2 linked regions of the Pelodiscus sinensis genome follow. Each later gene encodes a partner of the first gene's protein in a complex. Links are inferred from orthologs where the notes say so. Each region holds a gene or a part of one and is shown in the gene's direction. Other genes may lie near its edges.

Region 1 (7,118 bases):
CCAAGTCAAAGCTATTGTACCTGGAATTATTCATTACAGAAGAATCCAAAGAGCATAAGAGTCTTCTCCTTTTGTATCTTGTCTTTCCAGAGACTAGTGCCATTTAAAAGTCATATCCTTCAGAAAGCAGATCTTATGCCTTGCCTGTGATTGACAGGTCTGGTTCTGCCACCAAGGTGGCAAGCAACAACAGAATATACTGATCTTACTGACGCAGAAACTCAACTTCACTTTCAGATTTCTGTCTGGAAGACAGAACAGCACTTTTGATAAAATGAACAGATTTGATCTAGAAATCAATGACACACAAACACGGGACTCCACAATGCCATTTTTGTCACTTTTCAAACATGTCCAAGGTGGAATAAGTTGATGATAGCTAAAACTAAGCTCACTATTAAGTTAAGGTAGCCATAGGAGCCCCAATCAAATTCAGTGGCAACCACTGATGTCAACAGCAGTTAAACCAAATACATGATATTGACTACATAATCACAGTACCAGTGTTTAATAAATCATTTATGTAAAACAATCTATCTTAAGTCAGACAACATAGTACTGAGGCAGTGAAACATAGTGGGATAAGGGCAGGATTCCAGAACAACCATGGATGTGTAACTTCTCCCACAACAGCTTGTGAGAACATAACATAGTCTTCAGCAACAACTGCTCAAATCTCTACCAACTGAGCTAAAAGAGAAACCACAATAGCACTCTCTTATCTGTTATGTGGAACAGACACTAGCTGGAAACATGACACCTTGCGCCAAAGCCAAACACTAAAATTTCAGGGGTTAGCCAAGTTAGTCTGTACAGGAAAAAACAACAACAAATGGTCTGCTAGCACTTCATAGACTAACAAAACATGTAGATGGTATTATGAGCTTTCGTGGGCACAGCCCACTTCTTCAGATGACCGGAGTTCATATGAAACTTATTATTAAATTTAAATTGAGTTCATATGAAACTCCGGTCATCTGAAGAAGTGGGCTGTGCCCACGAAAGCTCATGAAAACATGTAGATGGCATGTTAGTCTATGAAGTGCTACCAGACCATTTGTTGTTTTTTTTCCCTTGCCTAAAAAGCAATCTGAAGGTGGAAAAATGGGTTAAACCTTCTATTTTTTTTGGCTTTTTCATGTTGTACCACAGAAAACCGGATAGATTTGTTTTAAAATGTTTTGATTTTTGATAACTTAGAAATATCAGGAATGTCTAGCCCGATTTAGCTGGAGGTCTCCTTGGAGGATGAAACATTATATGGAATAGGACCTTTTACAGTCCTTCAAGAGGCAGAATACTTTATCTTTGAAAAGTGTTTTTTCTTAAGTCTTTAAGTTGAATAAAAACCTTAATATAACCAACGGAAAAGTAAACAGTGTATAGAGAAATTACTTGTACATTAGTTAGATTGCAATTCCTTGTTTCCGATAATGCAATAATTCTACTATTTTTCAGTTTTCAATAGAACCCTACCAGAAAAAAAAAGTAGTTGAGATCTGAATTTGTGAAGTAAAGCACAGAAAAAGAGACTTTTATTTAAAAAAATAATAATAAAGCCTAACCCGACTTGTACGCCCACTGTATACGTCATGAAGAACCAAAAAGCAGGCGTTTTAGCCCACTTCTAGCATAAGAACATTCTATTCAAGTGATGAGTAACAAGCCAGCTTATGAGTATATTTCTAATTTAGGATGAAGCGTGCTAAAATGAAGCCATCACTCCATTTGTGTATATAAATGCTATAAATAATCCTATGTGGCTTTCTATAGCTATTTGCAATGGAACTTAAAATGTATTTTTATTATGATTACAGTTTTTAACAGAGTTTATGTTGCATAAAGATAATTTTAAACTTTATGAAACTGAGAACCAGAACTTAAAAAAATTAAAAAGTGGCAGATTAGAGGAAACCCTGATATAAATAGCAACAAATATGGAAAAAGATTAAGGGAAAATTAGGATATTAAAAAGTAACCGTTTTACATTTAACATAATAAACGCAGTTTGTGAATTAATTCTACAGGATGTGAGTAGATGTTCTCTTTTTAAGGGAGGAAGGATGGTTTTGTGGGTAAAGCATATGATTAGAGATCATAAGCTCTGGGTTCTATTACTGGCTCTTCTCCAGACTTTATGTGACATTGAGTAAAATCACTTAACCTCTTTGTACCTAAATTTCCATATCTGTAAAGTGAAAATATTATTACCTCAGAGGAATGATGTAAGACTAGATTACTATTCAGGAAGTGTGCTAAGAGCCTCACTTAGGAGATGTTATAAAGTATATTATTTGGTTGCATGGAAAGGGAGAAACAGCCAATGGTCTGAATACAAAATTAGTAACTAGAAACATCAAAGTCTTTCACAGACTTATAACATTAGCATAAAGTCACTCAAATTTCTCTATTCCTGTCACTGTTTCTCATCTGAAAACAGAAATAATTCTCTGCCTCTTAAGACCTAACTAAGGTGTTATGTTTGAAAACGTAAGCTTTCTTATCACTGTTTTCTCTCCACTACTCTTTCATAAAGAAATTAATGTATTTGAGCAATCCCCAACCACACACGCATTTAAAATGTGGTTTTAATAATAAATTTCCTAGCTTGTATACACTGCTATGTCCATTTATTTACATAATTAAATCAGGTGACCATTTGATTTTTGCTTACAAACAAGGGGAACCCACCCCCTTCAAACATTCTGGAAAAAGCAAAAGGCACAATAATTTAATGAAGACTCAGGAGATTAAAACATCATATACAATGAACTACAGTAACTGCTGCATTTACAAGAGTGTGTTTGTTTTCATTCCTGGGAAATTTACCTTGATCAAACATTACAAATCTTCCCTTTTGCAACACACCTTGGCACCAGCAAAACTAGGGAGGTTTTTAAAATCTTTCAAACTATAGGATTATTATGTGTGTTATTTTACTAGTCCTGCTGTTGCTGCCTACAAGCTCTGGCTCTTCAGACTAATCCAGTGCAGCAGCAGGGATTTTGCAGCATTACAGGAGGAGGGACAGCAGGGGAGGGAGGAGTAGTGACCTCAGAGTACCTTGAGCAAGTTTTATATAAACCAGGTAAGCTGTCCTGAGGTGACACTCACTGAAAAGCTAAGAAGCAGACTCCCAATAACTAAAAGGAAAGCAAGAGGTCCCTTTAGATAATATAGGTAACTTTCATTTTTTACTGCAGTTTCCTAGCCCAATCCAGGCACACTAATCCTCATTCCACCGCAAAGGAAAACCGCCCTGCTCTCCCCATTGCGCCTGCTTCATCCCCACCCCCCACTTTTGTAGCTTGCCAAGAAAGCCCCATTTCTCCTTCCTCTAGCATATGGCTCCCCTGCCTGCTATAGCCTACCAAGGAAAGGTAGTACCTGCCTCCCCCAATAGCCTTCCTTTCCTCCCATCTCCACTAACGGTATCCCTCTCCCACTGGCTCTTAATTAAACAACCCCCCAGCATTTCCTCCTCCCTTCCAAGGTCTCCCAATTAAGGGCATTTTGGAGTTTTCCCTCCTCCCCAGTTCTCCAATGACAGGAAGAGCCCAGAAGGGCTTGAATGCAACCTTGCACCACTGCAGTCTCCCCGTAACAGATGCCATGCACCTTCTTTCCCCACAGGCTCGTGCATAGCGGGGCCCCCACTTCCTCCAGCCTCTGCTGCGCCTTCTTCCCCCCCCCCCCCGTTTCCGAGCATTGCAGTTCCCTTCGCCCTCAACAGGATCCCACCCCTGGAGCCTCCCAGTCAGAAACCCCCGCTCCCCGCAGGCATCTGCAAGCGACAGCCCCGCGCCGGCCAACATTCCACGGCTCGCGCCCCGGCTTCCGCGCTCCAGTCTCTATCGAACGTCCGCCGCCCGCGGGCAGGAGAGAGTCAGGGATGAGGAGGGGGGAAACGTTCCACACGGAGCATCCTCCCTCCCAGGCAAGGCAACCAATCAAACAGCCCCGGCGCCTTAGGAGAGGAGGGGGGGCGGGGCGGAGGCGGCTGAGAGAACGCGACGGCAGCGGCACGTTCCTGCCCGCGCGCGGCAGACTGGGAAGTGTAGTTTCTCCTCTCCCAGCCGTAGCCATTTTGTGGTGAAGGGAACTACAACTTTCCCAGCGCTCCGGGAGCGTTCCAAGGGGGCACGCGGAAAACCCGCGGCGCGCTGGCCGGCGAGGCCCGGTGCTGGTGGCCCGGCGCGTGGGAATGTGACGGGGCGAGCGGCTCGCGGGGCCGGAGGATCATTCAAGAGCTTTGCAGACAGGCCGGGAGGGGGGCAGGCGAGGGGGCGACTGAGCGTGCCGCGCTAGGGATCATCGCCCAATTCCCCGCTTCGCTCCCTCGCAGTGGCCGCGGCGGCGGCTCGCCCGAGGCCAGCTTTGAATGCGAAAAGGGGGGCCGAGGTGTTTGACGTTTGCCCTGCACGAGGCTGTGCTGGGCTGGCTGCGGCTGCTGCATGCGGCTTGGCGGGGGCTTGCGGCCAGGGCCTGGGTGAGAATTGAGGCCAAGCCCTAACTGAGAGATTAAAAAAAAGCCCAGGTCCATTTAAAGTTGCTGTCGGAGCGCTGCTCTCATTGGTTAGGGGAGAGCTGGAAGAGCAGGGACACACACAGTGCGTGCAGCCTTCACTGCTGCTAGAGGAGCTGCTGCTGCTGGAGTTGTCTCTGTTGCTTTCCCTTGCTGCAGCAGCATAAACGTGACTTCCAACATTTTTATTTATCTTCTCTTTTCCACCCCTTCCCTTTTGCAAGATGTAACTACAGCTCAGACACTAAGGACCTACAGATCGTGGAGGTGGCTTGGGAAAGAGAAAGGGGGATTTCAAGGGCGTCGTTTTTGTGTTAGGGAGAAAATTTCCATTATGAGTGTTTCTCTAAAGTGATTTTTTTTTTGTTTGCTTCGCATTCGTCTCTGGTTTTCCCCATTCCCCATATATCGGATTTATGGCAAGGAAAATCACATTGTGAGGAAAGAAAGTCGGATTACAAGATACTACTACAAACAAAAACTGGATTTTTGGGGGTATTTGAACAAAAAAATTGTTTCGGCTTTACTTCATGAAGCAAGTGTCCCCTTTTGCAATCAGAATTTGGATACCAGAATGAGTAAAGAAAGACCCAAGAGGAATATAATTCAAAAGAAATACGTAAGTGGTCATAACATATATCATTTGACTCCCAGTTTTAGGAAATGGCAGTGAATGTCAAGTTTATAGCTAATCTCGCAGCTATAAAGGTTTGGAACAAATGTTTAGTAATGCTGATTTTTATTGTGCTCAAGTGTGGGGGAGTTTTTTTTAAACCCTTTTAAATAGCAAAACCTGCTGACCAGTTTAGCTATAAAGCCAGATTTGTGTAGCGATACCTCAAGTGAATAAATGTATTGACCTCAAATGACACAATCATAATCTAGTTTTAGATGAAAGGCTGGGGCGGGGGGAGGGAGAGACACTGCTGCGATGTTACTAAACTCTATTTTCAAATGGATTTATTAATAATGCACTTTACATGCAAAATAATATTTTATAGATGTATATTTATAGTTCTGTTTAGTGAGGACACTATGGTTGTTGAAAGCCCTTTAAGTTGAAATCGAATGTCTGGTTATGGCGAGCTTGTTTCTTGCACTACCACATCAAATGTAATATGTGATCGTTTGCTTATCTGACTTGCAATAGAAACCAAACCAGTTGGGGGTCATCTTACAGGGAATGTGTTTCTTCTTAGGATTGACTCTAATAATGGGGAAATGGCTTGGTTTAGTTTAAAAATGCATGATGGTGTCTCGAAATGCTGGAAGAATATGGTATAGTTCAGGCTGTACACCTACCTCTGTTCTTATTCAACTGCTTGTAACCAGATCCTTGTAATAGTCTAATCCTTTAAATATATACATTTGCAAGGATAGTTGGGTTTTGGTCCTGCTTCAGCTATGTTTTGATTGGCATAGGGGCGTCTTTAAGTTTGGAAAAACTGAGGGGATTCGTCAGATATGCTGCAGAACTAATTATTTTTATCTGCGCGTTTAAAAATAAAATATATTTCACTTTGTTCAGAAAATGCTTCAAGATATATTAGATGCAACACTCAAAAGTTGTATTATATATGTATTATATCTGGCTTTTTTCCGTGGGGGGCATATAGATGTATTTCCTTAGGGTGATGACCTTCGGGACCCTTTGCCTTGTTTTTAAATAGATTTAATAAAAGATAAAATAAGGCTTAAGAATCCTGTTTCTGTTGATGCTTGTCTCTTTAAAATATAATTTAGAGAAACGAGAGGCTAGGAAAATATTAAAAACGTAAAGGGTATTCTGCACCGAATTTACGAATTAAAAATACATCCGCATTGCAGAGGAATTGGGAGTCTGAAGCGGACTAGTTTAAAGTATTGTATCGAAACAGGAACATTGTCTAGAAAGTCTAACGAAACATGTAAGACGTGCACGTTTACCAGGCAGTGAAACAAAGCGGAATGGGGGACGCATTTGCTGTGTTTAATTAATAAAGTAACCTATTATTTTTAAAGCGACTCCACGTCTGGACGAGTGAACAATGGTACCTTCCTCTGGTTTTGCCTATAGTGCTCGTTAAAGAATTAATAAAACTACTGTCACCCCTCCCCCCTTTAACCCGAGAGGAAAGGTATGAGAGACACATGTGAGCGTGGTAGGGAGACAATGTATCCTGTGTTCACAAGTGTAACTCAGTGGAATGGAGGGAAATCGCTTTTTTGGGGGGGGGGGGGGGGAGGAGTGCAGCTTACTGTGTTCCTCAGTGTGTGTGTGGGGGGGGTGAACGTGGGTTGCTGCACTATTGCAGTAACTGGCACAGACGCAAGCATGGCTGCTGCTGCTGCTGCTGCTGCTGTGGGCCGGCCTGGTCGTTTTCCCATGCATCCTTTAGAACTGCGGCAACAGGTTAAGCGGAATGTCAGAACAAGCCCCCGGGTTCCCGGCCACTCAGCCCAGTCGGGGCCAGGTTCTTGTTGTTCTTGTGACGTCACAAAGGGAAGGGCCTGGGCTCAGTGGAATCTTCGTCTCATCGATGTTGTGATTTCCCCTCCCCCTCCTGTGACGTCAAAAGTGAGGCGGGCCGTTTGGCTGGGGGAAAGGGGGAGT
Region 2 (7,711 bases), on another chromosome or scaffold:
GATCCCATTTTGCCACATACTCCCTTGGGCATGTATCTTTGTGCTTCTGTGCCTCAGTTCCCCATCTGTACAATGGACTAGGGATGTAAGCGACTAATCAACTATCTGAAAAGCAAAAGGTTATCGGATAGTTGACACACTAGTTGACTAATTGCTTTCCTCAGCTGCTGCTTCTATCACAAAGAGGCAGCGGGAGGGGGGGAGAGGGAGAGAGGGTTTCAAAGCAGACTCCCCGCTGATCCTGGGCTCCATGCAGCGCTTCCGCTTTGAAATGTGCAAGAGCCCCAGAGATTGAAATGCCACATGGAGTTCAGGATCAGGGAGGAGTCCACTTTGAAAAGTACAAGAGGCCCAGCTGAAATGTACAAGAGTTCCTGCAGTGTCTCTTGTACATTTCAAAGGCAGAATGTCATGCTAGTCCTTATCAACTAATCGAACAGTCGATGGAAATACCATTGACTATTCAATTAGCTAATTATATTTAACATCCCTACTTTCTATCTCATAAGTGGGTTCTGAAAATGAATAAAATATTGTAAGTTTCTCAGGCTCTACAAAATGTAGGCCACAGAAAGTGTGTCAAGAGAAAGGGAAATTTTCTAATGATAATTTAGAAGTGGGAGGCAAGAAGCCTATCCTAAATTACGAGGGCTATAGAGGGAAAGGGCTTTCACCAGAACGGCTATAAAGTAGAGAGAATTTTTAACAAATACACACTTAAATGGATTTTTGTACTTTCATCAGTATTTTGGTTTTACAAAATGTACACATACACAAAGTTTTGAAAAATTTAGCAGGTCTTTTCAAACAAAAAAGGTCACAATCTGGACTACTATGAGGCACACGGTAAGTACTCTGAGGGGTTTTTTGAGTGATTCTACAATTGTACAGTTCAGCTGGACTTTAATGTTTTCATGCTGGTTTTGCAGCATGAAAAGTCTTCTTTTCTTTTTGTCTTTGAAAAACAAATGCTTTAAATCCAGCAAATGCAGAGTACGACTTCCCATAGGCAGTTAGTTTGAAGTATAATCTCTGAAACTATAGTGATTTACTGGCTAATGTACACACACAAAATTGCCCCATCTGCTGGATGGCCTACTCACATTTTTGTTGTATAACTCTTTCTTGGCAATTCTGCGAGAAGAACTAACAGAGGTGTTGCTAGCAGCTCCATAATTAAGGACAGATTCCATTTCTCGCTTACAGCAGGGATCTCTGTCTCTGTTTTGTATAAATAATACATTGTATCTTCCACAAATATACATGGATAGTTTAAATTTTCCAAAGATTTTCAAACAAATCTGTTAATTAGCAGGCCCTACCTCTTAGACAGAGAATGCTCTCTTTCTTCATCAGATTCCCAACAAAGCAGGGATCCCCTCTATATTCAGTAATGGGCCCCTCGCTTTATTCTTATGAGTCTGAAATTGCCTAGTTTCATAAACGCCTAGATTATACAGGGATATAAAAGTAGACATCTGCCCTGAGTCCTGATACTCTTTTCCCTGGGTGTCAGGTGCTGTTCCATGTAACATTTAATCATGGCCTTTCTTGAACCTCTGGGATCTTCACAAACAAGATACTATGTTTCTGCACCATCAACCTCCTCCTCTAGGTACAGAAGCAGTCCTCCCAGCCCCAGACAGGAAATGAGTCAAAGCCAGACACTGTATTAACATCATCCCTTGATGAGGCAATGGTTCGATCTATACTTTCTCATCCACACATCTACAAGAGCTTCCACACATCTACAAGAGCATCTGCTCAAACATGTAGCTGATTCTCTTGCAACACTGGTGGAGACAACACAAGGTCTTGGACATTCTTTTTGCTGTCATACCGGGTTGTTTGTCACTCCTTATTACAAAAGGCCAGTAAAGCACATCTGGTAAACAACTGTATCAGTACCTCTGACTTCTAAAAAAGTCAGCTAAGAGGTACTGGGTATCATTTGTCAGATCTGAGTATCTGCACTCACCTCTACCTTACTTAGTAATGGTTATGGTGGTTAGTGAAACAAGCCCACTGCAACAGAAAGATAACTTCCAGAGATTTATTCAGATGTAAGAGTTACTCATCTACTGGCCAGTATTTCTGGATTGCTAATTATCAGGTGTTACTGGTGCTGATTTTTAAAATTACATTAAATTTTCAGATTTGACATCTCCCTGGAGAACAGACTGGAGTTTAAATCTTTGATTGCTGATGAACAGCTGGTAGCCAGGATGACCCTCCACGCAGCAATGGATGCCTCTGAATTCAGCCTCTGATTCAATGACAATGTCTATCATTAGGAGTGTGAAAGATCTTTCCCCCCTTTTTATCCACTTCTGCCCCCTTAGTGATAGACATGTCCCTGCTGAGATAGGGAGCATATCTGGACCATTATCAGGCTCCAGTTCTCCAGACCCATGAGGATACCTGACTACATATGAATATTGCAGGGCCCAAAGTGGTTCACAGAGACTTTTGCATTCCTACCAATTGTCCATGGACTGACCATTCAAGTTATAACTGGAAACATGTTATATAAATGGGCAGGGAGGATCCCTTTGATGTAGAGAATGCTCTAGAAGATATTTTTTGTCAAGCTGTGAGTGGATGATCGAGGATTCTGTTATCCATCAAATCTTCCAAGTGCTGGGTCATCCTTTTGTAGACCTATTTCCAACAGCCCAAGAAGATGAAATGTATCTATTTCTATTCCAAAGGAGGTCTAAGCCCAGGATTCCTGTCTGATGCATTCCTCACTCAATGCTTCCTATGGATGATGTATGCTTACCCTCAAATCCCTCTGAGTCCTAGCATGCTCAGAAAGATAACACAAGATAGTAATAGCAACTACTTGGCTCAGGTAGTTTTGGTACCTCCTGGAATTGATGCTCTTATCATTTCAGTCACTAAAACCTTTTAAATTTGACCAGATTTAATACCTCAAAACTATGGGAGCATCTTATCTCTACATCCATCCTCCCTCTTCCTCACACTCACAGCTTGGCTACTTACTGGAGATCAGACACAGAGAGATCATGTTTCTCTGATGTCCAGAACATTTGATCTACAGTAGAAAAGTTTCCAGACTAACATAGGCTGTTAAGTACAAAAGATTCAGATTTGATGAGAATGTAAATTACAACCTATTGATTCCCAGACCCCTAATTCTTGGACTATTTATACTCTATTAAGCACTTGAAACTATCTATGAGAGTGCACTTGGGAGCCATGTTCACACATCACTCCATCCCCTCTTCAATGCTAAAGTTTTTCTCTGCCTCGCTATGATCACATTTTTAAAGAGCCTTATACAAGCTTTTCTCCCCATGAAGGGAACCTCCTTCATTGGACTTTAACGTTGTGCTGACAGGCTTTGTAAGCTGCATTCACTCCATCCATTTAAGCACTTACCAAATTGTTACTTACTGCATGTGTCTATGAAAACATCCTTAACAATGGCAATTACATCAGCTAGATTTGGGGAAAATGTAAGCTCTCATGGTTGACCTTTTCTGTACAATATTTCATATGGGTAAATCATTCAGATCTCTCCCTGAATTTCTGTCCAAGGTAGCAATGGGTTTCCATTTGAATAAAAAGTTTTTTGTCAGTGTTTCCCTTAAAACACTTACTAATCAGGGAAAGGTAGGGTGTACATCACAAGTTCACAGGGCCTCCTTTAATTCACTAAAGACCAAACCTGCCACAGTTTCCGCAAGATGATTTGTAATATTTGCCAACAGCAAGGAATGTCAACCAGTATCTCCTCTGAGATGACTCACGTGAACGTGGAGTACCTTAGGGCCTGTTACAAGTTAGCTAGTTGAAAGCTCTCTCACTCAGACTAGGGCTCACACCCACTTGGGGTTCCTCAGGCCCTATCTCCCTTAAGTGCTGTGGAAAGAGCACCATCTTCTTTTGGGGGCGTGCTACTGCTCTCGTCCAGGGGCACATCCCCCCATGCACATGGTAGGGCAGGGTGCGTGCAACGTTAAGAGTGGGATGGATTTGCACAAGTGCCCAATGATGTACGGAAAGTCTTATCTTATGAAAACCCATAGGCTCTGTCTGTACAGGGGGGTTCTGGTGCAAGAACACGTCCACGCTGCCACATGCTTTTGTGCGAGGGCATCCATGGCAGTGTGGATGCTCTCTTGCGCAAGAAAACCCTGCCGCGCGTCCGCGTCCACACTGCCCTCTTGCGCAAGAGGGCTTACACTTGTTAGAAAAGAGTGTAGCTCTTGCGAGAAGCCCAATGCCGCAGGGTAAGCCTTGCACAAGAGCGGGCGGGCCGTGTGGATGCTCTGCCGGTTCTTGTGCAAGAACCCACCAGTGCAAACATAGCTTTATTGAAGTGTGGGGGGGGGCACCCCTAGCCTGACCCACAGCGCCTGGAAGGGGTGAAGGCAGGGAGGGCCCGTTCTCTGGAAGAGCCAACAGAGAGAAGCCTGGAGCCCTGACTCCCGCCCAGCCTCGTGTCCACTCAGCACTCCCCCTCCCTTCCCTGCCCGCCTCAGCGCCCCCCACCACATTTGGTTCTGCCCACTCGCTCCTCTTCCCCCCCCTCCCCGTTTGGTTCTGCCCGCTCCTAAGCAGCTTCGAGTCCTCAATTCCTCCCCCGCACCGACGCCGCGGGCGCTTCACCCTCCCAGCTCCGGTTTTTTGTCCCCGGGCGGGCTCCGTAGCGCGTGCGGCGGCCCCTCCCCTCTGCGGCTCGCTCGCTTCTGCTGCGCGATTGTGCGGGCGAGAGGCGGCGGCGGAGCGAGCGAGCGACCCAGGCGGCGGCGGCGGCAGCGGCTCGGCGGCGCCATGGCGGCCGCTCTCAGCGACATGGCGGAGCCGGAGGGGCTGCTGCCCGGCGAGGCGGCGGCGGGCGAGGAGGAGGAGGAGGCGGCCGGGGCGGCGGCGGCGGCGGAGTCCGAGGCGCTGCTGCTGCTGCCCGGCGAGGCCGAGAGCATGTCGGAGCCCAGCCCGGAGAGCGCCAGCCAGGCCGGGGACGGGGAGGACGAGGAGGAGGAGGAGGAGGAAGGCGGCGAGGAGGAGGCGAGCAGCCTGGTGGGGAGCAGCAGCACCAGCAGCGGCTGCTGCAGCGACGAGACCCGCTCGCTCAGCCCCGGCGGCAGCAGCGAGGCCGACGCCAAGGAGGAGCCCAAGGGCCCGCGGGGCAGCCAGGAGGACGGGCTGGGCCGCGGCGGCGGTAGCAGCAGCAGCAGCGTGTCCAGCGGCGGGGACGAAGGCTACGGCACGGGCGGAGGGGGCGGCAGCGGCAGCAGCAGCTGTAGCGCCACTTCGGGGGGCCGGCGCGGGAGCCTGGAGATGTCCTCGGACGGGGAACCCCTGAGCCGGATGGACTCGGAGGACAGGTCAGTGCGGGCCCCGCGCCTCGGCAGGCTGGGGGTAGCCACAGCCCTGCGGTTGCTCCGCGGCCGGGGCTTGGGATCCTCGGCCCTCCAGCTCTTCCCTCAGCCAGGATTCACCCTTGAAATCCCGCACGGGATAGGGGCCCTGAGACGCCATCTCCTGGGCCTCCGGCACACAAGAGCTCCTCGAAATTCACCTCTCTTAGCCCAGAGAGACATGGAGCAACACCAAGCCACCGTCACCCACACTCCTGCCCCATCTCCCAGTCTGGGGCAGTAGGCAGCCAGTACAGGAAGGGATGGGTGGGGATTTCCTAGAACCGAGAGTAAGGGTTAGGAGCCGCCAGGTGGGTTGTGTATTCCTCCTGAACTGACCCAGCAGACGGAAGAGAGGTCTCGATACTTTTATTTGCATGCTGATTTTTTGCATGGTTAGTGCTCTCTCCTGAATGATTCTAGTCTTGCCAAGTTTAATGATAGTGAGCAGAAAAGTCCACAACTTCTATACTTTCAGATATCTATTTGGTCTTAAAATCTTTGTTTCTTCCTGAAAGTTTTTCGGGAAAAATCTCTGGTCAGGTGAGATTTCTTGCCGTATAGAAATCATTAACTTATTTTGATAGCCACTCGATTTGGTTCCTTCCTAGTTTGGTGTGCAAGAAGCCCAGCCTTTAAATAGTAGAGTTTAACTACTGTTTCCTGGGATGCTAATATCTCTTTCAAAATACTTTCAAGTGTCTCTAGTTGTATTTTGTGTTTAAAATGCAAACAGCAGGATCTAAACCTCAAAGATCAAGTGCTAAAGGTGTTCTCCATGTATTACAGAGAGAACATAAAGAAGCAGCCTGTCTAACTGTAGGGGGGAAATTTTAGTTTACTTGATCAGCATAGATTGTTATCTGGTATGTGGAAAAACCTCCTCGTGTACCAATCTTTGCTGTGTAAAATATTAGTTTTCTTCATTTAAAAGCCACACAGATTGATAATCCATGTAGTTAGTAGACAAGGTAGGTGAGGTAATTTGTATGGTGGACCAACTCTTCTTGGTGTAGTGATCTTTACAATTTTTTCAGGACTTGAAATATGTATGTAACTGAATCCAAAGAAGGATGAACTTTTTCGATTCCTATATAGATTTATCTTTTACACTAAATCTTTAGTTAATTCCTTTTTGTAAATGAACAATGAACTTAGCGTGCAGAACTGAATATTTAAAAATACTGTTTTGGCATGATTTAAGTTCAAAAACATAAAACTAGCAGCTCATTGACTGTCAAGTGCTACCACACAAACTAAGTGATAGGCAAATAGAATAAGAAATGCTAAATTAGTTACTTGAGTCACTTTACTAGTCCAACTCTCTTCTGGAGCTGCTTAATGAGTTTCAGAATGGCTTAATGATTCTGTAACTTTGATTATATGTGGTGCTTTGTGTCCTTGACACATGTATAGATCATTGCCCATTATTATTTTTACATAAATATGTTTTTAATTTTACTTAAGTGGAGAAATCTGGTTTATTTGTTCATATAGAGGAGCAAATGACAAAACAGTAAGGTTCTTAGTAGCATTTGAAAAGTTATTTATTTAGGTTTATAATGTGCTGTGTTTTTATCACTCCTAACAGGACATGATAGTGTGTGTGCGCGCGTGGGGCACGACGACAACCAAACTATGTTAAAAGCTTAGTTGAAGAAAAGCTTAAAATGTCCGTTCAAATACTGCAGAAAAGTAGCAGATGAGATTGATGTCAGTATATTTGAGTATTGACAACCTCTAGTGTTCAAATCAGCCACCTCCAAATCATAGAATTGACTTGAAAATCCTGATGATTTAAGAAACAATATTTTGGGTGCTTTGCATTTACCTTCTGCGTCATATGCTTTTAGTATGTATTGGTGTCATGTTTTCATTCCTTTTTCAAAGTGGAATGCTAGAAACTTTTTAAATGAGATTCTCATTTAAATTGCATAGAATCTGGGAGTTTGGGGCTTTAAAATATGAAAAATCAGTATTGCCAATCCACACAATTTTACTACAATGTCTAGCAATATTTGGTGTTTTTTTTAATCTAATGTAAAAACCACTTCATGTGTTTGAGTGACTATCTCGACTATCTCCTGGCCTAGTAGATACTGGAACACAGATACGAGCTAACTAGCCTGGTGCAAGTTAAGGATATTAAGAAGTGGGTACTTGACTAATTGTGTATTCAGTACAATTTGTTTCGAGTACCCGGTTAGTCAGTAAGGGGCCCTGCTGCAGCTCTGCCGTTTAAATGTAATAAGAGCCAGCCATGCAGGCAGCCTGGCTCCTCCTACATTTAAACTGCAGAGCTGCAGTGGGGGTAGGTCCAG

The links. The genes of interacting proteins can lie anywhere in the genome.
Region 2: the proteins of JARID2 (region 1) and AEBP2 are in contact, whole or in part, in a cryo-EM structure (PDB 8VNZ), measured with the Homo sapiens proteins. The link is inferred for Pelodiscus sinensis from reciprocal best matches to the Homo sapiens genes JARID2 and AEBP2. Residues at the interface, in NP_004964.2 of Homo sapiens: Ser148, Lys151, Pro152, Lys153, Thr154, Glu155, Asp156, Leu158, Thr159; in NP_001107648.1 of Homo sapiens: Arg407, Ala410, Ile411, Asn414, Leu415, Glu420, Ser421.

What each region holds. Positions count from the first base shown.
Region 1 is NC_134712.1:106,767,609-106,774,726, forward strand, and holds the start of JARID2 (protein Jumonji), read left to right. Parts: upstream 1-4,078; 5' UTR 4,079-5,099; coding exon 5,100-5,144; intron 5,145-7,118.
Region 2 is NC_134711.1:114,664,534-114,672,244, forward strand, and holds the start of AEBP2 (zinc finger protein AEBP2), read left to right. Parts: upstream 1-4,613; 5' UTR 4,614-4,803; coding exon 4,804-5,357; intron 5,358-7,711. UniProt on the Homo sapiens protein: Acts as an accessory subunit for the core Polycomb repressive complex 2 (PRC2), which mediates histone H3K27 (H3K27me3) trimethylation on chromatin leading to transcriptional repression of the affected target gene.